Linked DNA regions of Macaca mulatta. The protein of the gene in region 6 binds, or shares a complex with, the protein of the main gene of each other region. Links are inferred from orthologs where the notes say so. Each region holds a gene or a part of one and is shown on either strand. Other genes may lie near its edges.

Region 1 (4,300 bases), on a different chromosome or scaffold from region 6:
GACTGAATAAAATGCCCAAAAGGGGCTAATCTGCAATCTCTCTTGAATGTAAGTATCTGGAAGGTTGTTGTCCTCAAGAGGGTATAGAATGGTTCTAGCTCAATCCAGGGACAACCAAGTTATCAAAATTAATGTCACCAGTAGTGGGACAAATAGACTTCATGTGACTGCAGATAGATGAAGGATAACACTACAATCAGACTAGAGCTACAAGGAGAGACATTATATCACAATATAAGGAATAACTTTCTAACATCTGGCTAACAATCAAATCAGCTGTCCCTGACAGAGTAACATGGGCTCAGTGAAAACCTCCAGAGTGTAGATGACCATCTCTCGGCAACGTTTTGGGTAAGATTAAACTTGTTGGTGGCTAAGGCTTCCAACACTGAGTCTGTAAATCTACATACATACAACATTTGTTGAAATCTATTTTTCTTAAAAGTCTTTTCTTTGGATTATTAAATGGATAAAAAGCCAGAAAAGGTGCAAAGGGTCCTGAAGGCAATATAAGATGTATATGCTTCGTGAGTCAATTGTTATTGGACACAGAAAAGTGACTTCGAAACAAGTTTGAAACATTTTCCTCTCAAACTTTTTTTTTTTTAAGGTTCACTATTGCTTTCTACCTGCTTAAGACAAAGCAGGGATGAGTTCAAGGTGTTTTTTTTTTTTTTTTTTTAATCATTAAAAGGGAATAGGTTTGTGGTTATATGCTTCTTGCAATTCAGTAAGCCTTAACACAAAAGTGTCGCTGAATGACCTGAATGGTAAATATATATATATATATATATAAATGAGTTAATGCATATGAAGCATTTAGCACTGTTTCTGGCACATAAGAGGCCTTAAATAAAAGATAGCAACTCTAAGACTCAGGTTAACATCACCTCCTCCAAATAACCCCAGAAACACCTTCCTTACAGATACCCTCTTTTAATTTCAGCCCATGGCTTATGTCACTTCATTTACAGACTGTGAGTTCTTCGGGACCAGAAACCTGGTGAGATGGGGAGGGTGGTGAAAGACAAGGTCAGACAAGGCAGGGCCAGATCATATAGGGCTTTAGCCCAAGAAAAGAGACTGGATTTTATTCTGCATGGTATGGAAAGTCATGGAAAGGTTCTAAGCAAGAAAGTAAAGTGTTCTGATTTATATTTTTAAATGACTAAGTTGGTTTCTGTGTAGAAAGCTGTTTTGCTTGGTTTGGTTTGGGGTGGGGGGGGGGCAGGAAGGTAAAAGTGGAAGCAGAGATAACCAGGGAGTAGATTACTGCAGTGATACAAGTTAGAGATGAGAGTGTCTTGTGTTAAGATGGTGACAACGAAAAGAAGTGGAGAGATTCCAAATACATTTTTGCCAATGTGAAACGAAGAAATCTATCATATCATAAAGTATACACATGCTTAGGATTATAAAAATTAAACTTACTTTAGATACTTGGCATATTCTGGGTCTTTCCAGTAAAGCAAGTATTTAAGATAATTAACAAAAGCTTTGTCTTTGAAGTAACCTCTTTGGGCAAGAACTGAAAAGCATTAAAAAAAAAAAATGTCTGTAGGTCAAACCAATCTTTAAACTATGCTTTGTTACCCCTAATGTAAAGGATCTATTTACATAAAACCCCCACCACCAACACACATTGAATTCAAAACACAAATCCCAGTGCGCAATTATATCTATATACCAGCATAAGTGTAATGTCATTCAATTGAGAATGTGTAAAAGTAGATACTATTTTGAATTGCAACTCTTCTGTCAGAAATCATTAGTAGCTACTCAATTTAATGAGGTGCTTAACAACTTACAATTAAGGTAATTTGGGTTGGCTAAACATTGCACAAATTCCAACTCCAACTGAAACCGAAGTCGATTTCCAGCATCATCTAGGAGACAAGACAGCAAAAATCATGGAAAGTAAGGGTCACTGTATATAATACTGATTTGTAGTAAGGAAACAGCAATAAAGAAACCTGACTAATGCCGAGATGGTCTTCCTAAACTGGGAGTTGGGGGAGATAAACCTTTCTTCGAAATCTAAGAAAAGCGGAGCCCTGATTAAAAGGAGTTAGAAGTTTCTCTAAAATTAAAGAGAAATCATCAAAGAAAGCAGCAACACAAACGGAGAATTCCTAAGATCACTAAGGTAGGCTGTAACAACTATGGCTTCCCCTATGTTAATAATGCGTTATAACAATTGTTAACAGTGATTAAGTTTTGCAAAAGCTACGTGCTGAATCAGTTAAGAAAAAGTTAGGATGCAAGAGACTGCGCAGAGCCTAAAAGATCATGGAGCGTATGCATATAAGAAGCACCAGTAGCAGAATGACACATAAAGTCCGGCGACGATATTTCAAACTTAGGCAAGCTCATGTGAGAAGCAGAAAACCAATCAAGGAGGAGACGGTTTAACACACAAGTCCTCTCCCTTAGTCTCACCCACGCCGGGGAGCTGGTAGGGTGGTGTCTGAATAGCAAAGATGTGCGAACAAACCAAATTAGGAAAACTGCAAAGAGTACCTTAGTCTTTCTAGACGCTACAAGAGCCTTCTCACCTCCTTGTCCAAATATTAACCCTGCCGAGAGTAAGGCCTGGAAGGAGGCCACGGGGAAGCCGTCTGGACCGAGGGGAGTTCCATCTGCGAAGACTCCAAGATCAGAGAGCTACTCACCTGTCTCCATAGCGACGGCAGCGGCCATAACAAACGAAGACACCAAAACGCCACCAGCCTGACCGAGCAAAAGCCCAGAGTGGCGGGGGAAGTTCCGGAAACCACGGCTCTCTCTTCCGGTCCCGGGGCACTGTGGGATATGGGGCCGGGCGGCTCCGCCCATCCCGCCAGCCCTGGGATGGCTCCACCCGCGCTGGCTCCAAAATAGCGAGGGGGCGGGGCCCGGGCCGTGGGAGCGCCTGAGGGGCAGGAGCCCAGTGTTTTTAGCCTTGGAAGGATCATGGTGTTTCCACGTCATCGTGTTGTGGCGCTCCCGGCTATGGCAGTACCGTAGTTTTCCTCTCTTCTGCCTGCGGTGACCGTTGGGCTGGGGGGTGCCCCGAGGCCTCCTTGGCCCCCTCACGCCGGCAGAATGGCCTCAGCCCGAGGGGCCAAGCAGTCTTCTCCCCGGGTGGGGACCACCCGCTACACAGAGACGTCCACAGTCCGCGTGGAGACCTCGTCCCACCGTGTGGAGACCTCGTCCCACCGCGTGGAGACGTCGTCCCGGCGGGTGGAGACCTCCCAGCGCCGCAGCGAGGGGCCCTCCCTCTCCCCCTTGGGGAAGCGGCTCCCTGGCATCCTCGAGGCGTCCTCCCGGCACGTGGAATCCTCCTCGCAGCGCACGGAAACGACGTCCCGCCACATCAGGGCCTCGTCCCTGAGGGTGGAGACGGCTCTGCACTGCGCGGAGAGCCCAGCCCCGCGGGCCAAGCCGGCCGCCCGCCAGAACGAAAAACCGGCCCGATGAGATGCTGCTTCCCAAAGGCCACCAAGGGGCCAGGGCCCTCAGCCAGGACAGAAAGGCCTCCAGTTGCCAGCCAGCCAGCCAGCTGCCAGGTGGACCAATCATTTTCGGTTTCATGGAAACAAACCATAAATCAATGGAAGAAACAGCCAAGCCGCAGTTTCTGAACACAGCCAACGTTTATTGACCATCCTGCGTCTTGGACCAGCCTACTTTTGACCCAGTGAACTATTTTCACTTGAAGCCAGCACAAAAGATTTTCATGCCCAGGATGCTGTCTAAATTGGCTTGATGGACAAAGAGGCTGTTTGAGCCTCTGAGCCAGGTGAGTTTGGGATCCACAGCCCTCAGAAGACCTTCACCCCTTAGGAACAGAGACCAAACTGAAATCATGACCTGTGGAATGATTCCATGCCTGCTAGAAACTTGAGGGGCAAGGAACAGACTCATAAATTATTAATGGCCTTTGTTTATGTTTCAAGGTAACTGGTGGTTTTCTTTATGCTAAGTCTTTGTACCTGGCACTCCCATCCATACACTTTTTAAAGGTAGGTTAGATGTAGTTAAAAATGACAGTAAACCCACCAGCAAGCAAAAATAATCTTAGAAGAGAAAGTGAGAGGAGGCCATTGAAACCTGGTCTGAGGTTTGAAGAAGATGGAGAAGAGTCATATTTATTGAGAACCTGCTCTGTGCCAGGTACTAGATGTTCCTCCACTTACAATGGGGTTACCTCCCATTAAAACTATTGTAAGTTGAAAATACGGTAATTTGAAAAGGCACTTAATATCCCTAACCTACTAAACATCATAGCTTAGCCTAGCCTACCTTAAACATGCTC
Region 2 (4,042 bases), on a different chromosome or scaffold from region 6:
AACTACCATCAGAGTGAACAGGCAACCTACAGAATGGGAGAACATTTTTGCAATCAACTCATCTGACAAAGGGCTAATATCCAGAACCTACAAAGAACTCAAACAAATTTACAAGAAAAAAACAAACAACCCCATCGAAAAGTGGGCAAAGGATATGAACAGACATTTCTCAAAAGAAGACATTCATACAGACAACAGACACATGAAAAAATGCTCATCATCACTGGCCATCAGAGAAATGCAAATCAAAACCACAATGAGATACCATCTCACACCAGTTAGAATGGCGATCATTAAAAAGTCAGAAAACAACAGGTGCTGGAGAGGATGTGGAGAAATAGGAACACTTTTACACTGTTGGTGGGATTGTAAACTAGTTCAACCATGATGGAAAACAGTATGGCGATTCCTCAAGGATCTAGAACTAGATGTACCATACGACCCAGCCATCCCATTACTGGGTATATACCCAAAGGATTATAAATCATGCTGCTATAAAGACACATGCACACGTATGTTTATTGCAGCACTATTCACAATAGCAAAGACTTGGAATCAAGCCAAATGTCCATCAGTGACAGACTGGATTAAGAAAATGTGGCACATATATACCATGGAATACTATGCAGCCAAAAAAAGGATGAGTTTGTGTCCCTTGTAGGGACATGGATGCAGCCGGAAACCATCATTCTCAGCAAACTATCACAAGAACAGAAAACCAAACACTGCATGTTCTCACTCATAGGTGGGAACTGAACAATGAGATCACTTGGACTCGGGAAGGGGGACATCACACACCGGGGCCTATCATGGGGAGGGGGGAGGGGGGAGAGATTGCATTGGGAGTTATACTTGATGTAAATGACGAGTTGATGGGTGCAGCACACCAACATGGCACAAGTATACATATGTAACAAACCTGCACGTTGTGCACATGTACCCTAGAACTTAAAGTATAATAATAATTAATTAATTAATTAATTAAAAAATAAATAAATAAATAACAAGAAAGGAAGGAACAAGTAACTCTTGGACTGATAGGGAATTACCTTTAGATTATTATTAGGAGAAAAAAGTGCTAATTAATTAACAGTGTACATGGTATATGATCATGCTATAAAAGTGTTTCTATACGCATAAAATACTTCTAGAAGAAAACATAACTTGAGGATATTGGCTAGAGACAGAAAAAAGAACAGGTAAGAGAAGAGAAAGAGACTAGTTATTGGATCCACCCTTTTTATACCTGTGCATTTTGAACCATATGAATGTATTACCTATTAGAAAATAATTAAACAAAAGGTTAAAACATGACTGTATTAGCATTATATGATCCATGTCTGAAGTGGCAAATCTTATCACCAGTGGCTGACACACAGTTCTCATTTCCCTACCCATAATACACCATGAGAAGGTAAGGCACTACTGGAATGTGAGCTCTTCAAGGATGACACATTTTGTCTTTTTCACGGATACATTTTCTGGTAGCTGTTCTTTGTTACTTTTACAGTTTGTTTCCTCATTTTTACTATAATATCTTCCTATCGTTATTATAGAATCTTGGTATTCCTATTGTAGCATCTTTGTATCAATGCTGTGCCAATTCCTTTATTAAGTAAAACAAATGGAATGTGTATCTTTGACAAGTAAAGCTTAACACATCTGTTTTCAAGTGTACCAAAAAAATCCGAATAGGATGAAAATGATCTTAATTAATCTAACATAGGGGAGTTTTTTTCTTTTTTTCAGCGTTGCACACTGTGCAGTATCAACTTGACTTCTCAACATAGGTTTTCTACCGAAATATACAAATTAAAACAAACGTAAGCCAGAATAAAAAATGATGACAATTTTATTTCTTCCTTCTCAGGAAGATCTTAAGAGCAACATCAAAGTAAATGTTAAAGGGAAAAAAAAAAAGAAGGGGGCAAAAATCATCAGCTGAATGTATTAAAAATGAAGTGCTCACCTGAGAAAGACCACCCCAAAACTGTCTGAAGGCACCCAAACAGCTAATTAGTTTTGTTTTCTCATCTTCAGGAGTATCCATAAACATGCTAAAAAAATAAAAATTACATTATTTGTCATTCGTTTTAAAAAGGTAATTACACACAATCAGAATAGTGGATCTTAGAACCTTCCAACACGAAACTAAGTAAAATCTGACAGATACAATCACATGAAAACACAAAAATCCGCCACGCATACACTCACCCAGGAAAAGCCTCTTCTATAACTTCCGTTTTCTGTAAAAAAAAAAAAAAAAAACAAAAAACAAAATGTAAACAATGTTAATTTTTAAAAGGCGCCTCCCTTAGCCAAGTATTACAATGTAACACAGGACAAGTCACCTTAATCAGCTCTGAAACTATCAATACCTGTCGGGCCTGTCACTGTATCGATTTCAAAGGATACAATGAACTTGACAGCAGTTTGAGAATCACTAAACCTCCCCGCACACAACCTCGATGTCAAAACAAGAGAATAAAAAGGGAAGCGTGAGACGAAGTTGCCCGGGCCAGCTTCCTTGGTCTGCTGCCCCCGCGTCTACCCGTCCCCGAGCCGTAGTCCTGGATGGCCGGCAGCTGCACTCACCACCACCTCTTCGAAAATGCTCTGCAGTTGCGTCTCCATCTGTACTATTACCCCCGCCTTTCCGGGGTGCCCGGTAAGGCCCGGGTCAGACCCGAGCTCTGGGAATATATGGGGCGAGGGTCGGAGACCGCCGGAGGAAACCGTAGCTCTCCGACGTCGCTTCCCTCCCCCAGTGCTTTACCGGGGAGCCTTCCCTCCGCAGCCCAGCCAACTGGAGGAACCTGTACGGAAGACCGGAAGGGCCCGGTACTCTCTGTTTGCAAACCCCGCAGAAACCAGCGGCGCCGCCAGACGGTTCCGTCTGTGGAGAAGGTCAGCCCGCAAGCCGGACGAGAGCGCCCCCAAACGGAACCTTGAGCCCAAGGACCCCGGAGGCGTGATCGACCGCAGGCCGCCACCTCCCGGCTGGAGAAGGAGTTGCTTCCTGCTCGGGACTAACCCGTTTGCAGACTGGGAAATGAAAAGCTTGAAACCCAGAGGCTGCAGCCTGCGGAAAATGCTGGAGCCGCAGCTGATGTCTGTGAGCAGCTGACCTTCTGGACCTCCATCAGCGGCCTGCAGCCAGGAGCTGAAGCCACAGAGACGGTGCTTGTCAGCTATGATAACCTCAGTGCAAATGTGATTGACTGACTTTTGAATGCCAAACCAATTTTGCTTCTATGGTATAAATGCTACTTGGTCATAATATATTATCCTTTTAAATGTATTGCTGGATTCTATTGGCAATATTGTTGAGAATACGTGTTTTTCTTCATATGCCACCGTCATCACCAACCCCTAAAACATCTGTTATGCCTTTTCGATGATCAGCTTTCTTTACCTCAAAAAGAAAATTGTTGATGAGAGTCATAGACATGCAAAGGGCCTTTCACTTCTTTGTGAAATGCCACAAACTGCTAAGCATGAACTACTCCTTTGTAGCTGCTAAGTGATGAGCTGATGAGTCCCCATTAGTGGTTTTGTTATACAAGTCTCTGACCTGGCATAAATTTAGTTTTCTAACAACTTTAACATGCACATGCAACCATCGTTGCCCACACAATAGCTACTAAAAGCTTAAAAGAAATAATTCAGATTCCCTGCTGGAGAAAAACTTGAAGAGTTAGGCTTCGTATATTGTTTGCTAGGGTTGCCATAACAAAATGCCACAGACTGGGTGGCTTAAACAACAGAAATTTCTTTTCTTGTAATTCTGGAGGCTAGAAGTCTGAGGTTGAGGTTGGTAGGGTTACTTTCTATAGAGCCCTCTGTCCTTGGCTTGTAGATGACCTTCTTCTCCTTGTGTCTTCACGTGGTCTTTCCTTTGTACATGGCTGTGTCCTAATTTTCTCTTCCTAGTAGGACACCAGTCAGGTTAGGGCCCATATAGCTACTCTAAAGAGCTTTAGTTCAGTTGAAGAAGTAGACATTTTAAACCGTAATATAGTGTAATATGTGCAATACTAGT
Region 3 (4,297 bases), on a different chromosome or scaffold from region 6:
GGAGATCAGGAAGTCTGGGAGTAGCTGGAATTCTACCAGCTGCTGCCCTCTAAGGGGAGGGGGGGTGAAAAGGTGACAGTTCTTACAAACCCCTGTGTGTACGACTCAAGCAGGTGGAATGAAAATGGAACTAGGCATGTGCTGCTGAAACTGAGAGTAAGATGGTATGGATAAGCTTTGGAGCTCAGGGGTATAGGAAAAGTTTTAGTACAGCTGCTCTAGAAACAGGAAAGGAAGCTGATAAAGGAAATGGAAAAGGCAATATTGCCAAGTACTAAATAGGGCACAGTCTGAAACTGGGAGAGGAGTGTGGTTCGCCTTTCTATCGAGTCTCAAATGAAAGACCGCCCAATCAGAGACAGATGGGCAGACCTGGTCAGAGCTTGGTATCAGTGGGACATTTTCAGGAGGACAAGGGGGTAAAGGCATGGAGGCTGCTACTGAAAGAAGCCAGCCTGGGTGAATAGGAATGGAAGGGAAGTCAGCCAGGGCTGAGCACTGGAAGAACAGGGAAAGCAGAAAGCCAGCAACCCAGAAGAGGTCGAGGGCAGGGACCTGCAGGTGGCATGGACCTGTGCAGCACAGCAGACAAGGTATGCGTTTGAACCAGGCCACCATGGTGCTAATCCGGGCTCCGCTGTTTTTTCCACTACGTAACTTTGGGCAAACTACTTAATCTTGCTGAGCCTTAATTTCCTCATCTGTAAAAAGAGTAATACAAAGATCAAAATCTCTTATTTGAGCCCCCTCAAACTAGATAGTATTAGAATCTCAAAGTGTTCAGATTTTAGGAAAGCAGTATACTGCACAAACCATATATTATTTAACATCCCCCTATGAGGTTTGGGGCAGCATCCTGTAATTAAATGTTAATATTTCTTCTATGAAATGAATCTTTACGCTAGAAGGAACTATAAATACATTCATACCATTTCAGGTCAGATTTTACTGCCAAATGAATTCTGACACTTACCTTTTAAAAAAAATGTTTAAAGATGTTTCAAGTTCATATGTGCCATATTGGTGGACCATTAATAGAACCCACCTCATAAGGCCATGTCACGAGGATTAGATGACCAAATTAACATTAAGCAGTGAACACAGTGCCTGGCATGTAGTTACGTCCTCAATACATGCTGCTGTTAGTGTTTTTCTCATCAGCATCATCACTGTTGATGACAGTGTGGCTGAAGTAAAAGGGGGACTGATAAGTGGGGAGGAATATAGAGAGGGAGAAACACAGTGAAAATAAGGCAGAAAAGCAGACCAGATGGGGTTTTGAATACCAAGTTAGGAGTTTGGATTTTATTGAGTAGAAGCAGACAGAGCAGAGAAAAAGACTATAAATTTTTCAGAAAATCAATGATATCAACAGATTTTTGCTTCAGAAAAACCATTCTAGTGGCAGTGTGAAAGAGCGCAAGGAGGCTAAGACCTAGCAGGAGAGCTTTGTGGTAAGCCAGGTGACAGATGATGAGGGTCTCACATGAGGCTGTGGGGGGTGGGATGAAATTCAAAGGGAGAACGGACAGGATTGGGAAACTGATCGGGTGTGGGATGGTGAGGACTAAGAGAAAATACTATCACAGAATATAAGGGAGTAGAAATATTCCAGAAATAGATGGGCAGTAATAATGTTAAATGTAGCAAAAGAAAGAAGAAGATAAGGTGTGGAAAGCATTCTCTGGGTTTGGCAATTAGGATGCTACTGGCAATCTCAGGAAGAGCAGGCTCAGTTGACTCCGTGAGAATGGAAGCCACACGTTATCAAATGTCATAGAGCAGCCAGTAAAATACAGACTGAAAAAATAGGGGTTGAATTCACTAACAAGGAGGTTTTCAATGACCTCTGACATTCATTGCAGTTTGACTTAATGAAGTATTATGGGTAACCTGCAAACCGCAGTGGTTTGGTATAGGGATGGGAGAGTAAGGAATAGATTGTCCAGTAGATTGGTTTTCTCTATGAAATGGGAGGTGATCACTGGCTGTGGGCATTGGGAGGGAAGGAACTAGTTTTCCAGTTTGAAATAGGAGATTTCAATTGGGGCTGAACGACTTTCTCTGTAAGTGGACAGTAAATATGTTAGGCGTTGTGGGCCATAGCCTGTCACATATCCTTCTGTGCTTTTGTTCTGTTTTGCTCAGCAACCCTTTAAAAATGTAAAAATTTGTTTGTTTGTTTGTTTGTTTTGTTTTCTTTTTTGAGACAGCCTTGCTCTGCCACCCAGGCTGGAGTGCAGCATCGTGATCTCAGCTCACTGCAACCTCTGCCTCCTGGGTTCAAGTGATTCTCGTGCCTCAGCCTCCCTAGTAGCTGGGATTGCAGGTGTGTGCCACCACGCCCGGTTAATTTTTTGTGTTTTTAGTAGAGTGGGGGTTTCACCATGTTGCCCAGGCTGGTTTCAAATTCCTGGACTCAAATGATCTGCCTGCCTCCCAAAGTCTCCTAAAATGCTGGGATTACAGGCATGAGCCACTGCACCTGGCCTAAAAACACAAAAATCATTTTTAAGCCAGACCACACAAAAATAAGCTCTTGGATAGATCTGGCATAGGAACCAGAGTTTGCTGACCTGATTTAGATTACTCCCCTTTCAAATCTCCCCAAGTGACAGAAACGACTGCATGTTCATTGTAAAGCAGAAGCACCCAGGACAAAGACAGAAGAGACACAAAACTGGAAACCAAGTAGACAAGTGGAAGTCAGCAAACTCAGGAAAGCTGAATCCTGTGCTGGTAGTGGGAAAAGTTGAACTGAACGTGAAATATATCACAGAACTCCCCAAAGACTCAATCACTGGCAGCATCAGGTACCACTAGTAGAGGGAATGAAGATGATACTGAAAACAAGATTCCCGGTTTCTAAACATGAGCAGGCAGCCAAGATCATGAGGCATTAGAGGAAAGTATTTTATATAAAGACAGGAGACCAAAACAAATGAAATCTAAATGCAACATTGAAAAACTGAAGAGACTCAGGGGGATGAAAACTCAGGAAAAAAAAATCATTAAACTCCTCAGAGAGAAGACATTTTACTCATGAAACAGGTAGAGGATATCATAAAAAATATATTTGGTGAACAAAAAGAAAAAAGTTACCCTGGAAAATGAAACACATAATAGCAGAAATAAAAAGGGCTGGAAAAGGAATTGGAAAAGTTAAGGAAATTTCTCACAATATAGAACAAAAAGATAGAGATGGAAAACGATTAAGAAAATATTTTTAAAAGATTAAAGGACAAGTCCAGAAAACATGACTTCTGAATATGGGAGTTCTAGAAAGAAAGAATAAGGGGAAAAAATGAAAAGGCGAAAATGCTGAAAAGAATAACTCAATAAAGCTGTCCCCGAACTAAAGGTTTTGAGTTTTTTGTGCTTAAAAGGGTCCTCTGAGTGTCCAGCACAGTATGAAAATAGCTCTCCATCAAGGTACATTATCGTGAAATTTCAAATTTCTAGAGAGAACAACAAACAGACTTTATATAAATAATTAAAAATCAGAACAGCATTAAGACTCCTCAAGCAGAACACCAAAAGCCTAGAATACAATGGGGACAGTACCCTCAAAATACTGAGGAAAAATGATTTCCAACCTAGAATTCCATACGCAGCCAGACTATCAATTAAGTGTGAAATCAGAATAAAGACATTTTCAGGTATGTTCTCAAAAAATTACTTCTCATGTATCCTTTCTCAGGAAATTAGTACAAGATGTGTTCCATTAAATGAAGAAGTAAAAAAATATGGGGCCCAGGAAATGAGATATACCACAAGAGGATGGTGACAGGGACTTCAAGACCACAGATGTTTGGCTACACAGAGAGCAAACCACCCAAGGAGAGCATGCAGAGGCTCCCAAAGAGAGTTCTTCAAGAAAATGAAGCTGACAGACAATCTAACATGTCTGAATATATGGAGAACGATTTATACAACTGGAGAAGAGTTTAGGGTTGAATTAGTGACAAATACACAAAAAACTAAGGAAAGTAAAAAGCAAGACTTTTACTGACTTCAGGAAAAACAAAACATGCAGTGAAAAACTAGTAATCATGGTATCTATGAATAGTGTTTCTATGGTCATGGTATATAGATTCAATATTGCTCTAACTATATTAGGAGAATTGGAGGATAGATTGCATGGCTATGGTAGAGGAGTGGTGAGTGTGACAGAGTATTAAATATTCATCTTCCATTGAAGAAAGTCAGTAGGTAATACTCAAAACAGAAAAATCAAGAACTGGCAACATACTCTTGTTATTAGAGATTCAGTGGTTAAAAACCAAACAAATTAGCT
Region 4 (3,500 bases), on a different chromosome or scaffold from region 6:
ATCGCATGTGAATCACCATCTGTGGGGATTCCCACTTTATCCCGATCCATCGTGCTAAAATTTAAGGTAGAAATGAGACAAAAAGTTATACTGTATATGCTTGACGTAGCATATAAGCAGGTTCTTAATATCCCCCCTCCTCCCTCTTATTTGGTGAAAGGTGTGAGAAAGCCTCTCTGAAAATGAAGAACATTTCTTTCTCACCAAAGTTAACCATAAACATTGTAAATACAATTCCACAATGTATAAAGACACTTGCCTTAAGAGGTCTTGCCTTAAATTTACCAAAAAAGAAAAAGAAAAAAAAAGAAAAAAAGAATTCTTAAAACCATAGAGTATTAGATACAAAAGATTGCTTAGAGTTTAAGGGATAAAACTGAGACAAAGATAGGTCTCTTTGTCTGAGGCTATCTCAAATAGCTTCCCAAATTTATAAAGTTGGTTACAGGTAGAGCTAGGCCAGAAAGAAACCATGTTTCCAGAAACCACGTTTCCAGACTCATTCAATGTTCTAGTACGTTTTTAGACTATATATACATGTTTTTTTTTTGAGATGGGGGTCTCACTATGTTAACCAGGTTGGTCTTGAACTCTTGGTCTCAAGCAATCCTCCTGCCTTAGCCTCTCAAAGTGCCAGGATTACAGGCATGAACCACTTAATCTCGTCCTATTTTTAGACTATATACATTTATTTCATACTTTATAGCTTCAATGGTGAACAAGTTTCATTCTTTGATGGGTGATTTGATTTTTTTACACTTCAAATCTATTCATATGTTCAAGAGAGGTGGATCAATCTGGGTAATGGTTTGTTTTTACCCATGAGTGTAATTTTGGGCACAACTGCACCCTGGATAGCTGACAGATATAATTAAGCTCTGGTTAACCTAGCCTATAAATCAAAAGGGAAGATCACTCAAAACCTTCATCATAAAAGGAATGAGAGCTGTCATGATCATTCCTGTCACCATAAATAACTTGGAATCACTGTGTAAAGTACTTAATGTATATTATATCATATTACTCTCATCTTACACATAAGAAAACATGCTCAGAAAGTTAGAGTTTCCCCAAAGTCACAAAGCAGCTAAATGGCAGAGCTGAGATTCAAACTTTAGTACCCCTCTAAAGCCTCTGAATAGACTGGGTCAATAGTGACTTCTCAATCACTCGAGTGATTTGCAGAGGCAAATCTACTTGACAATTATGCCACAGAAGACTCAAATGTCATGTGGGCATCTGGACTACATGGTTTTCAAGCTCTTAATTCCCACCCTCAGATTCTAGAATTCTATGATAAAGATTTTATGAAGTAAAGTCCTCATTATAATTTTATACATAAAATATTCAACACTAGACCTGGTGCGGTAGCTCATGCCTGTAATCCCAGCACTTTGGGAGGCTAAGGCAGGCAGATCGCTGAGTCCAAGAGTTCCAGACCAGCCAGGGCGACATGGTGAAACCCCGTCTCTACAAAAAAGTAGCTGGGTGTGGTTGTGCATGCCTGTAAGTCCCAGCTACTCAGAAGGCTGACGTGGGAGGATCACCTGAGCCCAAGAGGTCGAGCCTGTGGTGAGCCGTGATCACGCACTGTACTCCAGTCTGGGTGACAGAGTGAGACCTTGTCTTAAAAAAAGAAACAAACTAAAATTTCAAGAATAAGATAAAAAGCACTTTATGTTCATTCAGAATGTCTTATTTACAAAAAAGCAGCATGGTTGGGCATGGTGGCTCATGTCTGTAATCCCAGCACTTTCGGAAGCCAAGGCGGGCCGATCACCTGAGGTCAGAAGTTTGAGCCTGGTCAACACGGCAAAACCCCATCTCTACTAAAAATACAAAAATTAGCCAGGTGTGGTGGCACATGCCTGTAATTCCAGCTACTGGGGAAGTTGAGGGAGGAGAATCGCTTCAAACCAGGAGGCAGAGGTTGCAGTGAATGGAGATCCCGCCACTGCACTCCAGCCTGGGCAAAAGAATGAGACTCTGTCTCAAGAAAAAAAAGAAAAAAGAAGTATCATAGTTTTCATATTTCTGCAAAAGCAGTATTTTTAAAGGTACCTTTCAGACACATCAGGATGCGGCTGAGTGGGAAGTGAAGATGATTCTCCAGAAATCCCAGCTGTCTGTAGAGTTGATGTCTGTTGCCCTCCTAGTTGACCACTCTGAACTGTATTTGCTTGTGTAGACATGGATCCTGCAGCATTACTGTTCATACTGCCAAAGGGTGGAAATGAAGGTAGTTTATTTGATGATACTCCACTATTCAAGTTGGAGGATGATGAAGATGAAGTTGAAGCTGTGGTCAAAGTTGAATTAGCTGTGGCAACTGAAGTAGATATGGCAACACCTGAAGTCATTGTCATAGTGCTGCTTGCTGCAGATGCTAAGGTGGCAGATGGAGTATTAGCATTTCCAGTATTTGTCATCTGAGGTGGAGTAATCAAAGACTGACTTGTAGGGGCAACTAAATTTGGCTGGGAAAGTAGAGAGCTGTCCAATGGCAGGGAAGCAAGATAAGGACCTAAAGAATAAAAACAGGTAGGAAATTTAATTCTTTATTTGACCGACTGGTTCTTTTTTTTATTCTACGTGTAAACAGAATCATAATCCAGTTGATGTTTTCTTGGTAATTATAGCCCCTAAATTGCTTGCTAATGGTGTGACCTACATTTGCTTTCTATTTTCCTCTAGAAACTGAAGAAACATATTTAAAATGGAATTGAAAAAGCCAGAATTTTCACTTAAAATTAAAGAAATGATTACTATGAAAGTGTAACAAAATTCTATTTTCTAAGTATAATGGAATGTAAAAAAAGGTATCTAGCAATATTCACCAAACTATTCAAAGGGTTTCTAAATCACAAATCAAATAAATATTGGCTACATTGGCAGCTAATTAAAATATAAAATGGTATAATGTTATCATGGCGTTCAAATTACAGGAATGTCTAACGAGATTCAATATTTTGGTTCTGCATCTCTTTGGATTAAGTCTACAGGAAGTCCACTGATATTTATTTCAAGAGTATTTATAAGCAATACAGTTGGGCATGGTAGAATGAAAGAAAAAAACGTATGTAACAAGTAAGTCTTAAACAGCTGTCATTTTCTTAGCTACAACAAAGAACTATTTCTTGGTTTGGTAGAGATTAACTATAAATTATTTTATCTCTGAACTGTAACAAATGAAGAATCTTCATGTTATTAAAACATCAGACCCTACAGAGGCAACAGAAAATTTATCTATAACCCGTAATTTCATCCTACCTGATGGGATCCCTCATTAGGGATTAGCAAACTTGTTCTGTAAAGGGTCAGATAATAAATACTTTCGTCTTTGCAACCACACAGTCTCTTTGCAACCACACAACTACTCAGCTCCAATGTTGTAGCACAAAAGCAGCCAGCGAAAATACATAAATAAATGAGGATGGCTGTGTTCCAATAAAATTTTATCTACAAAAACAGCTGGTGGACCAGGCCACATTTTGCCAACA
Region 5 (3,970 bases), on a different chromosome or scaffold from region 6:
CTACTCCTCCATAACCAAACTACACGTTGTCTCCCAATCTCATATCAGAATCACTTTTGCTTTATGTTACAGATTGATTTCCAATAGCAAACACTTACTTGTATCTCTCATAAACACTGACAAAATTAACACTGCTAAATCCTAAAGACATGGTATTATCCAAAGTTCCTGAATGAAATGATTCAGTTCCATATCCTTTTTGTCACAGTAAACTATGCAATTTTATATGGACACATTAACTTTTTTTTTTTTTTTTTTTTTTTTGAGACGGAGTCTTGCTCTGATGCCCAGGCTGGAGTGCAGTGGTGCGATCTCAGCTCACTGCAACCTCCGCCTCCTGGGCTCAAGCAATTCTCCTGCCTCAGCCTCCCAAGTAGCTGGGATTACAGGCGCACACCACCATGCCCGGCTAATTTTTGTATTTTTAGTAGAGACAGGATTTCGCCATGTTGGCCAAATTGGTCTCTTAATTCCCCACCTCAGGTGATCCGCCCACCCTGGCCTCCCAAAGTGCTGGGATTACAGGTGTGAGCCACCGCGCCCGGCCTGTATGGACACATTAACTTCCCTACAACTATCACAGAAATTTCAAACCCCAGGTTCAAACCCAGTATCTTCTATGGCCATAATAACCTCTACTTACTCTACCTTAAGCCTAGATATACCATCCAATGAGAAGATTCTGAAGTGCTCCTTTACACTGGTATTATCAAAGTTTCAAGATATAACACCCTCTAACATCAGGTGGGGCAAGTATTCTATTAGAAGCAATATTATACTTAGAATTCGTGAGGTACTAAGGGCAGGCGTGGTGCAGCCCTGAGTTTCCACCATGCCACAGTAGTGCATAGGATGATGCAGCCTCGACCTCCCAGGCTCAAGCCATCCTCCCACCTCAACCTCCCAAGCAGCTGGGAGTACGAGGCAAATGTCACCACGCCCAGCTAATTTTTGTATATTTTGTAGAGACAGAGTTTTGCCATGTTACTCCGGCTGGTTTTGAACTCCTGAGGTCAAGCAATCCTCCTGCCTTGGCCTCCCAAAGTGCTGGGACTACAGGTGTGAGCCACCACTCCCAGCCAACATTTTAAAACTTATAACATAAATTCAGATTACAGAAAAAGTGCATGAATATACAAAGAACACTTCATATTCTTCACTCAGATTCTCCAAATGTTAACATTTTCCTTCATTTGCTTTATTGGTTTCTCATTCCTTCACCCCTGAATACTTCAATGTGTTTTCCCAGGACAAGAATGTTTTCTTCTACCCACAGCACAATTACCAAAATCAAGGAATTAACATTGATCTGGTACTTCAAAACACAGTTTTTGACACCTTACGTTTCATTCCACTCAAACCTTTTTAGGTGAGGAGTGCTGCTCTGTACTTTCCTACACGATGTGCATTCCTGTACTTAGGTTGTCATTTTCCTAAGGCAACTACGTGACAGATACTGTTGTTTTATGGCCTCTCTAACATAATCTTCATAACAATTCTATGAATTAAGGTTGTTTGTTTTGTTTTTTGAGACAAGGTCTCAATCTGTCTCCCACGCTGGAGGGCAGTGGTATGATCAGGGCTCACCGCAACCTCTGCCTCCCGGGTTCAAGGGATTCACCTGCATGACCCTCCTGAGTAGCTAGGGACTACAAGTGTGTGCCACCACGCCCAGCTAATTTTTTATTTCTCGGTAAAGACAGGTTTTCACCATGTTGGCCAGGCTGGTCTGGAACTCCCGACCTCAAGTGATCCGCCCACCTCGGCCTCCCAAAGTGCTGGGATTATAGGCGTGAGCCACCACAGAGTCCCATGAATTAAGTTCTATTATCAATTTCATTTTAGAGGTGAAGATCCCAAGTCTCAATGAGGGGAAGTGTTGCCCCAGATCAAAAAGTTAATAAATGGTACAACAGGAATTCTTATCCCAGGTCCCTTTAGCTCCAAAGGGCAAGCTCTCTTATATCTCTAAGCCGTGAAGCATCTAATTGTACAATTAGAACTTGCATATTACAAAAATTATATTTTTCTCTACTGTCTCTCTAGATGGAACTTTTCAAAGGCGATGGAAGTCTTATTTTAATAAAACCAGAGCCAAGCATCATAACTGGTTCTTAGACTCAAGATCCAACATCTAGTGTTTGTTCTGGGGGAGAAGGCGCCTCACCAGAAGACGACAGATATTCCAGGGTCCCAGCCCCAGAGATTTGATTCATTCTGTCCACTGTGAATGGGCCCTGGTATGTCGCTTTAAAAACCTCTCCAGATGGACCTGACGATTAGGCTTGGTTGGGATCTACTGCCCTCGCCTGCCCCCGTATCTCAGCTGTTTCACAACTGCTCCCAGAAGAAGGAAGGGCAGGGAGGGCTACTCTCATGTTACAAAGGGCCAGAAAGGGCAAATAACTCGCCCAAGGCGACACAGCCTAGAAAAACAGCGGCGAGGGGACTAGACACCACGTCTCCCAACCTCCACTCCGGCTCGGCGTCCCCACACGGAGGAAGCCCTGGGACTGCAGCGCTAAGAGCCCCCTCCTCCAGGCTGTCCATCCCGAGACCTCCACGAGCGGCGGGGAGGCCGCGCTCTCGGAGAGACTCGGGACAGAAAGACGAGAGAGCGTCTTCGGAGGCCGAACTCCTCCATGCCTCCCCAGTTCCCAGCCCAGCACAGAGGAAACCGCGGGGTCCGGAAGAAAAAAACGCACACACGCGGGAGCCCCAAGCCGTTGCCGCCCACTCACCTCAACTCTGGCTTTACACTGGTAGCCGCCTTCCCCCTCTGCAGCCGAAACCAATTTCCGGTCTCCTCCTGGAAGAAGCCACCGACTCTGTCTTTGATTGGCTGTAGGAGCTGTCCTTTAACGAGATTCTAGATCCGCCTCAGACCGATCGCTCGCTATTGCGCCTGCGTATATTCGACTCCTGCCATCGCCACCCCTTTCACTGACTTTTAAAAGTAGTAGGTGAGGGTTGTTTCTTCGTTTCTTTAAGGCATAAAATTAAACAAGACATCTTATTGCTTTATTTTTTATAGACCCCTTATTGACTAGAAAAAATCTTATATTTTGCCGGGCGCGGTGGCTCAAGCCTGTAATCCCAGCACTTTGGGAGGCCGAGATGGGCGGATCACGAGGTCAGGAGATCGAGACCATCCTGGCTAACACGGTGAAACCCCGTCTCTACTAAAAAAAAAATACAAAAAACTAGCCGGGCGAGGTGGCGAGCGCCTGTAGTCCCAGCTACTTGGGAGGCTGAGGCCGGAGAATGGCGTGAACCCGGGAGGCGGAGCTTGCAGTGAGCTGAGATCCGGCCACTGCACTCCAGCCTGGGCAATAGAGCGAGACTCCGTCTCAAAAAAAAAAAAAAAAATCTTATATTTTAATATGTAACATGCTCTTGTAAGACTTCCATGAATTTAGACATTTATGACGTGAAAATAACCTCCCAAAGAAAACCTAGCAAAGGTTGTTCGTGTGTTCCACCCGCTGCCCGCATTACAACTCTTCTGCTGACAGTCGCAGCTGGTAGTTCCATTCCTTTTGTCTTTTCTTTTTTAATTGAACCCATACAATGAAGACATCTTACATAAAAATTCGAAAATATAGATATGCAGGGTTTTTTGTTGGTTTATTTTGTTTTATTTATTTATTTATTTTCTTTGAGACGGAGTGTCTTTCGCCCAGGCTGGAGTGCAGTGGCGCGATTTCGGCTCGCTGCAACCTCTGTCTCCGGGGTTCAAGCGATTCGCGTGCCTCAGCCTCCCAAGTAGCTGGGATTACAGGCATGTGCCACCACACCCGGCTAATTTTTTTTTTTTTTTTCCTTTTTTTGTATTTTTAGTAGAGACAGGGTTTCACCATGTTGGTGAGGCTGGTCTCGAGCTCCTGACCTACAGTGATCCGCCCGCCTTGGCCACCCAAAGTGCTGGAATTACGGGCGTGAACCACGTAGCCCGGCCTCCCCCATTTTA
Region 6 (4,153 bases):
GTGGCTCAAGCCTGTAATCCCAGCACTTTGGGAGGCCCAGATGGGCGGATCACGAGGTCAGGAGATCGAAACCATCCTGGCTAACACGGTGAAATCCCGTCTCTACTAAAAAATACAAAAAACTAGCCGGGCGAGGTGGCGGGCGTCTGTAGTCCCAGCTACTGGGGAGGCTGAGGCAGGAGAATGGCTGAGGCAGGCGAGTGGCGTAAACTCGGGAGGCGGAGCTTGCAGTGAGCTGAGATCCGGCCACTGCACTCCAGCCTGGGCGACACAGAGAGACTCCGTCTCAAAAAAAAAAAAAAAAAAACTTTTAAGATCCATTTAGTCAACAAAACTTTATGGAAAATAACTATGACAAGTACTACATTTAAACACTATAGAGACATAGTGAATGCGACATAGCTTCTGCACTCATGGTTTTCAGAGGGTAGAACAAATGTTAAAAGTTATACAAATCTGATTAGGATAAATGCTAAGAAGATTCCCTCTATTTTGGTTCACATCACTCCATATTCCAATTTACTTCAGAACCTAAAGCTGAAAATACTCAATTCATTATAACTCCCTAACCACATACTGTTTTTCCATCACTTAAATGTCTCCTGAGTATATGACATTTTTTTAACCTCCTTAAGGAGTATCTCTTTGCAAACATGATAGTGCTTATACACAGTAGGCACTCATACTAGTTATCCTAAAGGCTTTTCTCCAAAATCCAATTATCAGCATGCCTAACCTGGAGTTAAGGCCATATTCACTCTGTCCTTACTATCCTTCTAGTTACAAGACATGTATGAATATGCAAAAGTTTCCCTAAAATAAGATTTCTATCCAGCAGCATCATTACAATTTGATTTTGTAAAATCTCAAAGGAGTAGTTCCCTGAGGAAGGCTGACTGGCAGCTCAGGCAAGTCCCTGCAGGGCAGAATTTATCTTGGTGAATTCAACATTTAGAAGCTGGTCCTCTCAGCCTTAAAAACTAGTGTTATTCACCCAGGGTAGATCAGTTTATCACAAGTAGATTCACACTCTTCAAGTGTACAAAGCCTGATGTATTAAGAAAAATGCCAAGTTATTAGCTTACAGTGAGGAAAAAAAACTGGCAAAGAAACCAGGTACTTAGGTTTTCCTCTCAGCATGTTTTCTCTCTAGCCCCTCATCTAGGACGTTAAATCACAATCAGACAATGAGAAACATAACTATCAATGGAAAACTATTTAACAGAAAACTATGTAACTGGTAATGGTAATAAGTATACCCATTGCAGCAAGAGAATACCCACTGACGTCTTGGTCAACGGGATGCATATATTATGTCGGTCCCCTATGGTTATAACAACGCTGAAAAATTCTTACTGCCTAGTGACATCATAGCGGTCTGTGCTTGTGGTGACGCTGCTGTAAAGCAACCTACGGCACTGCCAGTGTATGAAAGTCTAGCACATACAATTAAGTACAGTCCATGATACTTGATAATGATACTAAATGACTTTGTTACTGGTTTATGTATTTACTGTTTCCTCGTTATTATACATTGTACTTCTACTTATTAAAAAAAAAAGTTATCGCCGAAACCATGCATTTCTCAGAACATAACCCCTTCATTAAGGGCCCATGACTGTATGCGCATCCTCTGGCTTTGCTTCTGCTTTCCACTCAGGCATAGCTTGGAGGAAAAATTACCAGAAGGAACAAAGCTGGGGAGCTACCTACAAGACTTGGCCTTTAATAGAGCGTAGAATTTGGGGGAGACGTTAAAAAAGACTTGTAAGCCGGGCACGGTGGCTCACACCTGTAATCCCAGCACTCTGGCAGGCCGAGGCGGGAGAATCGCTTGAGGCCGGGAGTTCGAGACCAGCCTGGGCAACATGGTGAAACCCCGTCTCTACTAAAAATAGAAAAATCAGCCGGGCGTGGTGGAGGGCGCCTGTAATCCCAGCTACTTGTTTGGCGGAGGCGGAGGGTGCAGTGAGCCGAGATGGCACCACTGTACTCCAGCCTGGGCGACAGACACAGTCTCCAAAGTAAAAAAAAAAAAAAAAAAAAAGGAAAGAAAAGAAAAAAGAAAGACTCAAATAAACGGAAAGACATACGAGAATCAGAAGATTTCCTATCATAAAGATGTCCCCAAACTGATGCATTCTGAGGGGTGGCCAAGAGACAAGAGATGGAAGGAGGCTCTGGGCCCACAGGAAGGAGCGAAGATGAAAGAAAATCTCTCACCTCAGCGTCGCTCCGCACCAACCTGAAAGCGCTGGTGAAGGAATACTCTCGGCTGGCATTTCATTACAAAAACCCAGTCATCCACAGCACGAGATCTCCCTTGGTGGATTCAAATTGATGAGGAAAGAAAAGAGCTCCTGCTTCTCCTCCCAACCCCCAAAAGAGATCCCGTAAGCACCGCTGCCAAGAAAATAAAACTGTCCTCAGGGAATACGACAGGACCGCGCAGCCGACAAGTCTTGGCGGCCCCACCCGGACAAGAGCAATCTTCCCGGTCTCCTCAAGCGAAAGAGGCTGCTCCCTCCCGCACCTTCAAGCACCGCCCGGCAGCCGGCCTCACACCTCCGAGTTCGCGGTGGCGCCTCCCGAGAGAGCGCTTTATGCCGAAGCCCTGTTTCTCAGTCCGCTTTCCACTTCCAAGTTTTGCCTCTTGGGCCCCTTTTCTCCCTTGCTTTACCTCAGGAAAGAGAAAGACAGAGGCTAATCGAATGAAATTCCTCACCGAATTCACAGCGTCTTGAAGCTGCGTGAGCCGATCCGCCATGTTCTTCCTGCAGCAAACAGACGCCAAAACAGCTGCTCTTCCGCGACTGGGCAGCTCTGGTACGCGTCATGGCCAATCCCAGCGCTGCCTTCTTGGAAGGGGTGGGGTCGGAGAGAACTCCCCGCCCCGTCAGGAGTGGGTGGTACTGCCGAGGCGGCCTTAGAGCGGGCTACACCAGAGGAGAGGCTGGATCTTTTGAGTAACTGGGGAGCGGCCTGGGGTCCATCGCTTTGAGGGGCTGAAATACTCTCTTTGAGGTTGTTAGGTGTTAAAGGCTTCAGAGATTGTTGGATTCAGCGGGGATTTTTTTTTTTTTAGTGATTTCTCCTATCCTCTCATGTGTTTACTTATTGACTACATTGAAGAGTAGATATATTTATTTATTTTGAGACGGAGTCTGGCTCTGTCGCCTAGGCTGGAGTGCAGTGGCGCGATCTTGGCTCACTGCCAGCTCCGTCTCCCGGGTTCACGCCATTGTCCTGCCTCAGCCTCCCGAGTAGCTGGGACTTTAGGCGCCGCCACCACGCCCGGCTAAATTTTTTTTTTTTTTTTTTTTTTTTTTTTTTTTGTAGTAGAGACGGGGTTTCACCATGTTAGCCAGGATGGTCTCCGTCTCCTGACCTCGTGATCCGCCCTCCTTGGCCTCCCAAAGTGCTGTGATTACAGGCATGAGCCACCGCGCCCGGCCAAGAAAAATCAGCTGCACAATTTAGATTTAGAGTTGGGACTTATTGAGAGATTAAGTGTGAAGAGTGATAATAGAAACTTGGTATTTAAGGAAATTTAGCCTGAGGATAGTCTGGTAAGAAATGAGTTTGGAGTCGGCAAATAACAGGTTTGGAGACATCAAACAAACTCTCATATCCTCTTTCTCAGGTTGATTATCCGTGATTACCTTCCTGCGGCTGCGGGGTAGGTGGTGGACACAGTCCCCGGGGAACTCAGCTTGCTGGATTTATCCCAACCCTTGCTGGGAAGCACCACTTCTGCTTCACACCCATGCCCCACCCTCATCCCCAAACAGTCTACAGACTTACTGGGGCCTCATTAAGAACGTGGATGAGGCATGCTCCCCATAATGGAACTAATGAGAAATCACTCCATAATTTGTTCTAACTGTAACTTGGGGGAATCTACAACCTTTTCCTCCCACCTTCACTTGAGCGTGTACCTTACTGAATGCCTGCCACATGCCAGGAAGTATATCCAGTGCTCAGTGTGCAAAGATGAATAAGCCAAGGACTCACCAAGAGGAAGGTTTTGCAGTTGTCCAAGATTAAGGTGAGCTGGGCCTAGAATAGGGTGTTGGTTGACCCTGATAAGAGAGGAAAAAAAGACTAAAATATATTTTTGAGAAAAATAATTAATACGGATTGGTGACTGATT
Region 7 (3,500 bases), about 94 Mb from region 6:
AAGTATGTGCATCAGAAAATGAGGGCCCCCTGCAGAGTAAACACAACTACAACTGCTGTCTCAGGATACAGACCAGAGCCAGAAAATGCAAAGGATTTCTGATCTAAGACACAGAGTAGCTTAGAAAAATAAAGAAAATAAATTTAGAAAATTCAAACATTAAGAACTAAAAGTGATACATATATTATTGCCTAAAGTCCTACATTAAAAAAACAGTAAGAATTTGCTTGCCTCTTTTCTCAAAAATTCTTAAAAGTTCAGAGAAATATCTCCTCTATTTAAATCTAAGAGTTAAAGAAATCTGCCAACTCTTTTTCATTCCCTGCTTGAGACAGGGTCTTACTCTCCAGGCGGAAGTGGTTGTGTGATCACAGCTCACTGCCATCTCAAACGCCTGGGCTCAAGTGATCCTTCCGTCTCAGCCTCCCAAACAGCCAGGACTACTGGCACACATCATCACTGACACCTGGCTAATTTTTTTTAAAAAAATTTGTGGAGACGGGGTCTTGCTATGTTGCCCAGGGTGGTCTCAAACTCCTAGGCTTAAGTAATCCTCCCACCTCAGCCTCCCAAAGTGCTAAGACTACAGGCGTGAGCCACCACATCCAGCCTAGCAACTCTTATATCAAGGTAGAAGGCCAACTAAGCAACCAGCCAATCTCTAGGTTAGATAAAATACCTCTCCTAGCTTGCATTTTAGTATAAATTTTCTAAGTTCCTGTCCTGCCAATACCCACCTCAGGGTTCTTGAGGGTCATCTCAATGCTGGCTGCAGGCCCAAATCCCGTGAGGGATTTAATGTGGATCTGTGTAGGCAATGGTCGCCTGCACTGGCAGTACACTGAAAATGCCATGGACTTCAAGTATTGAATGTAGAAAACTTGCTCATCCTTCATTGTCTGCAGCATGTACTGGCAAGGCACAATCTAAAGACACAAATACAAAAAACAAAACAAAACCAAAAACCTAGAAACTGAGATCTAACACGCTAACAAGCAAGCTGAAAAAGGAAACGGCATGAATTCCTTACCACAATGGGGAGAGGTAACCTCAGCCCTAAAATATATCAGTGTCACACATAATATAATTAAATCCTAATTCCTTCCACTGACATAAAATTCTCTATCACCAGCAATTTCGAAAGATGTACGATTATATGGGTCAAGTTATACTGTCACTTAGAAACTACCATGTTCCCATTTTAGAGGTAAGATCTCAATTTATTACAGGTATTACCATGGCCCCCAAATTGTATTATATTTCTCCTTTTTATAATTACACAGTGTGTGTGGCATTTTTTGGAATTATTACCTAATCATTTAGGATACAGACTTCAAAACAATGGAAAACTATCAGCAATGTACTCTGATAACTTTAATTTCAATCTTTTAATTTTACAAGATAGCTTCAGTTAAAGTGACATTAAAATGAAACCCAAACATCCGAAGCACTGTTTTTCATCTATATAGAATTTTTAAAAAAATCATTACACTATAAAGCTGTCAAAGGGGCAGTGAAAATAAGCATACTCATTCACTGATGAAAGGAAAGTAAGTGTAATCTCTTTTGGAATGGAATTTGGCAATATGTGTCGCATCTACATCTAAGAACCCATGTTAAAAAATGACCTGAAATGTGAAAAATAAGATTATACATAAATGTGTACTATGGCTTTATTTATAACAGTAAAGAAGTGGAGATATAGGAATGGCTATGGAAAATATGCAGTCATTAAAAATGCTTGTAAGAATTTAAATAACATGAAAATGTATTCATGAATAACATTAGATAGAAACTAAGTTATATTAAAAGTATGATCTCAACTGTGTAAACAAAAATAGAAAAACAAGCTAGAAAAACACCAAAATGGTAATGGTGGTTGAATGTAAAAGTCAGAATTATGATTATTTTTTCTTTTATACTTTCGGGTACAGGTTGAATATCCCTAATCAAAAAATCTGAAATCCAAAATGCGCCAAAACTCACAATTTTTGGAATGTCAATAAAACGCCACAAGTGGAAAATTCCGTATCAGACCTCATGTGATGTGCTGCAGTCAAATTTAATCAAAACTTTGTATAAAGCACAAAATTATTAAAAAAATTGTATAAAATTACCTTCAGGTTAAGTGTATAAGGTGTATATAAAACACAAATTTTATGTTTAGACTTGGGTCCACTGCCAAGGTCTCCCATTACATATATGCAAACATTCCAAAATCAGAAATCCAAAACACTCTGGTCCCTAGTATTTTGGTTAGAGGATAATTAACCTGTACTTCTATTTTTTAAGAAAAACCATAAGCCTGTATTTATTTTCACAACAACAAAAACATCAACATCAAAAGTAAATAATAAACTTGCAAACAGTAACCTGGAGAATGAAAGAACTTCTCATATGCTCAGGTAAATTATCCAGCATTTCTGTGTAGCAGCGCATCAAGCTCAACAGCCAAAAGTTCCCAGAAGTGGAGTCCTCCTCCGCAGCATAAGTGAATGGGTCTACCATGTAAATGACAACGGCTGGAGGGTGGGCATGGCTGTCTGCAGAGTCAGGCTCCGTGGGAATTCCTATTCTCTCCCTTTCTGTAACACTGGCAAGAGAGTCACTTGTGAGACACACAAAATAAACATAAATTACATGAGTATGAAAAACAAAAGTGCTCAATACTAGAGCACACAGGCTCCCTAAAGAATATTTACAGATTAAATGTAAGAGTAACATGTATCACCTTACCAAAATACAGGCAAACCAAGCCAGAGAGCATTGAAAGCAGATGGAAAATGGCAATGTACTCCTCTAAAATGGGAGATATCTTTTTCAAACTCCCCTTTCTTTTCTGTGGTTATGTTGTACAAAGTTGTTATTAAGTTGATTGTAAGTTTAATAATAAGGTTTATAAGTCATAATAATTTATAAGAAGTCTCAAAATTTTAACACTGCAGCTTTAGATTGACCATTACCCCTTTCTTTTGAGAAGAAGAGAAATAGAGCACTTCATAGGATTCAGAGAATCATGAGGTCAAGGGAGAAAAGGTGCGGAAGAAGAGAGAAAGGGTCTGAGCTGAGGCCACTCGTCTCAATTAGTGAGTAACATACCTCTCTTGTCCATCCTGTGAGGGCTGAGAAGAGCTCTGCCCAGGGTCAGTGTCTCCGCCACAGCCTATGCTCCCTTGAGTTCTATCCGTAGAAATGCCCCCAGTGCTGGGGTTCTGCCCTCCAACACTACCACTGAATCCTGAAGAAGAGGTAGTGCTTATCTGGCTAATACCAGGAGCAGAGGCAGACGATGAGACCGGTGGCACAGAGGAACCAGATGCGGAACTACTTGCTGCAGGATTTGTAGTACTACTATTCGAGGTGGGGTTAAATGCACTGCCAGCTGGGGGAGCTGCTGATCCATTTGGAGCTAAGGGCCCAGCATTCCCAGGCGTAGCCTGTCCCTGTGCCGCTGCTGGTGGGGTCTGGTATTTAGGTGGTATCAACAGGCTGCTATCAAG

What was found.
Region 1: MED21 (region 6) and MED31 share a complex: the UniProt entries of both Homo sapiens proteins name them as parts of the mediator complex. The link is inferred for Macaca mulatta from reciprocal best matches to the Homo sapiens genes MED21 and MED31.
Region 2: MED21 (region 6) and MED23 share a complex: the UniProt entries of both Homo sapiens proteins name them as parts of the mediator complex. The link is inferred for Macaca mulatta from reciprocal best matches to the Homo sapiens genes MED21 and MED23.
Region 3: MED21 (region 6) and MED8 share a complex: the UniProt entries of both Homo sapiens proteins name them as parts of the mediator complex. The link is inferred for Macaca mulatta from reciprocal best matches to the Homo sapiens genes MED21 and MED8.
Region 4: MED21 (region 6) and MED13 share a complex: the UniProt entries of both Homo sapiens proteins name them as parts of the mediator complex. The link is inferred for Macaca mulatta from reciprocal best matches to the Homo sapiens genes MED21 and MED13.
Region 5: the proteins of MED21 (region 6) and MED7 are in contact, whole or in part, in a cryo-EM structure (PDB 7EMF), measured with the Homo sapiens proteins. The link is inferred for Macaca mulatta from reciprocal best matches to the Homo sapiens genes MED21 and MED7. Residues at the interface, in NP_004255.2 of Homo sapiens: Asp3, Leu5, Thr6, Leu8, Gln9, Val12, Asn13, Leu15, Ala16, Phe19, Ile23, Ile62, Ala66, Ile69, Asp70, Ile73, Asp74, Leu76, Pro77, Ser78, Glu79, Ser81, Ala83, Gln86, Ser89, Leu90, Leu93, Glu96, Asn97, His98; in NP_001094286.1 of Homo sapiens: Phe72, Asp73, His74, Lys75, Leu78, Arg79, Asn82, Ile85, Leu86, Phe89, Leu92, Leu93, Leu96, Phe116, Val119, His120, Ile123, Asn124, Tyr126, Arg127, His129, Gln130, Arg132, Glu133, Leu135, Arg136, Met139, Glu140, Gln142, Lys143.
Region 7: MED21 (region 6) and MED13L share a complex: the UniProt entries of both Homo sapiens proteins name them as parts of the mediator complex. The link is inferred for Macaca mulatta from reciprocal best matches to the Homo sapiens genes MED21 and MED13L.

Annotation. Positions count from the first base shown.
Region 1 is NC_133421.1:8,131,825-8,136,124, forward strand, and holds the start of MED31 (mediator of RNA polymerase II transcription subunit 31), read right to left. Parts: upstream 2,801-4,300; 5' UTR 2,701-2,800; coding exon 2,673-2,700; intron 1,887-2,672; coding exon 1,809-1,886; intron 1,529-1,808; coding exon 1,432-1,528; intron 1-1,431. Other genes in the region: C16H17orf100 (uncharacterized protein C17orf100 homolog), read left to right, coding at 3,085-3,462. UniProt on the Homo sapiens protein: Component of the Mediator complex, a coactivator involved in the regulated transcription of nearly all RNA polymerase II-dependent genes.
Region 2 is NC_133409.1:36,667,873-36,671,914, forward strand, and holds the start of MED23 (mediator of RNA polymerase II transcription subunit 23), read right to left. Parts: upstream 2,801-4,042; 5' UTR 2,635-2,800; coding exon 2,596-2,634; exon of another isoform or gene 2,379-2,595; intron 2,247-2,378; coding exon 2,215-2,246; intron 2,058-2,214; coding exon 1,970-2,057; intron 1-1,969. UniProt on the Homo sapiens protein: Required for transcriptional activation subsequent to the assembly of the pre-initiation complex. Component of the Mediator complex, a coactivator involved in the regulated transcription of nearly all RNA polymerase II-dependent genes.
Region 3 is NC_133406.1:196,875,935-196,880,231, forward strand, and holds the start of MED8 (mediator of RNA polymerase II transcription subunit 8), read left to right. Parts: upstream 1-1,497; 5' UTR 1,498-1,501; intron 1,502-4,297. UniProt on the Homo sapiens protein: Component of the Mediator complex, a coactivator involved in the regulated transcription of nearly all RNA polymerase II-dependent genes.
Region 4 is NC_133421.1:49,703,013-49,706,512, forward strand, and holds part of MED13 (mediator of RNA polymerase II transcription subunit 13), read right to left. Parts: intron 2,525-3,500; coding exon 2,062-2,524; intron 55-2,061; coding exon 1-54. UniProt on the Homo sapiens protein: Component of the Mediator complex, a coactivator involved in the regulated transcription of nearly all RNA polymerase II-dependent genes.
Region 5 is NC_133411.1:166,007,764-166,011,733, forward strand, and holds the start of MED7 (mediator of RNA polymerase II transcription subunit 7), read right to left. Parts: upstream 2,801-3,970; 5' UTR 2,742-2,800; intron 1-2,741. UniProt on the Homo sapiens protein: Component of the Mediator complex, a coactivator involved in the regulated transcription of nearly all RNA polymerase II-dependent genes.
Region 6 is NC_133416.1:29,388,621-29,392,773, reverse strand, and holds the start of MED21 (mediator of RNA polymerase II transcription subunit 21), read right to left. Parts: upstream 2,801-4,153; 5' UTR 2,768-2,800; coding exon 2,726-2,767; intron 1-2,725. UniProt on the Homo sapiens protein: Component of the Mediator complex, a coactivator involved in the regulated transcription of nearly all RNA polymerase II-dependent genes.
Region 7 is NC_133416.1:123,231,902-123,235,401, forward strand, and holds part of MED13L (mediator of RNA polymerase II transcription subunit 13-like), read right to left. Parts: coding exon 3,100-3,500; intron 2,594-3,099; coding exon 2,374-2,593; intron 927-2,373; coding exon 738-926; intron 1-737. UniProt on the Homo sapiens protein: Component of the Mediator complex, a coactivator involved in the regulated transcription of nearly all RNA polymerase II-dependent genes.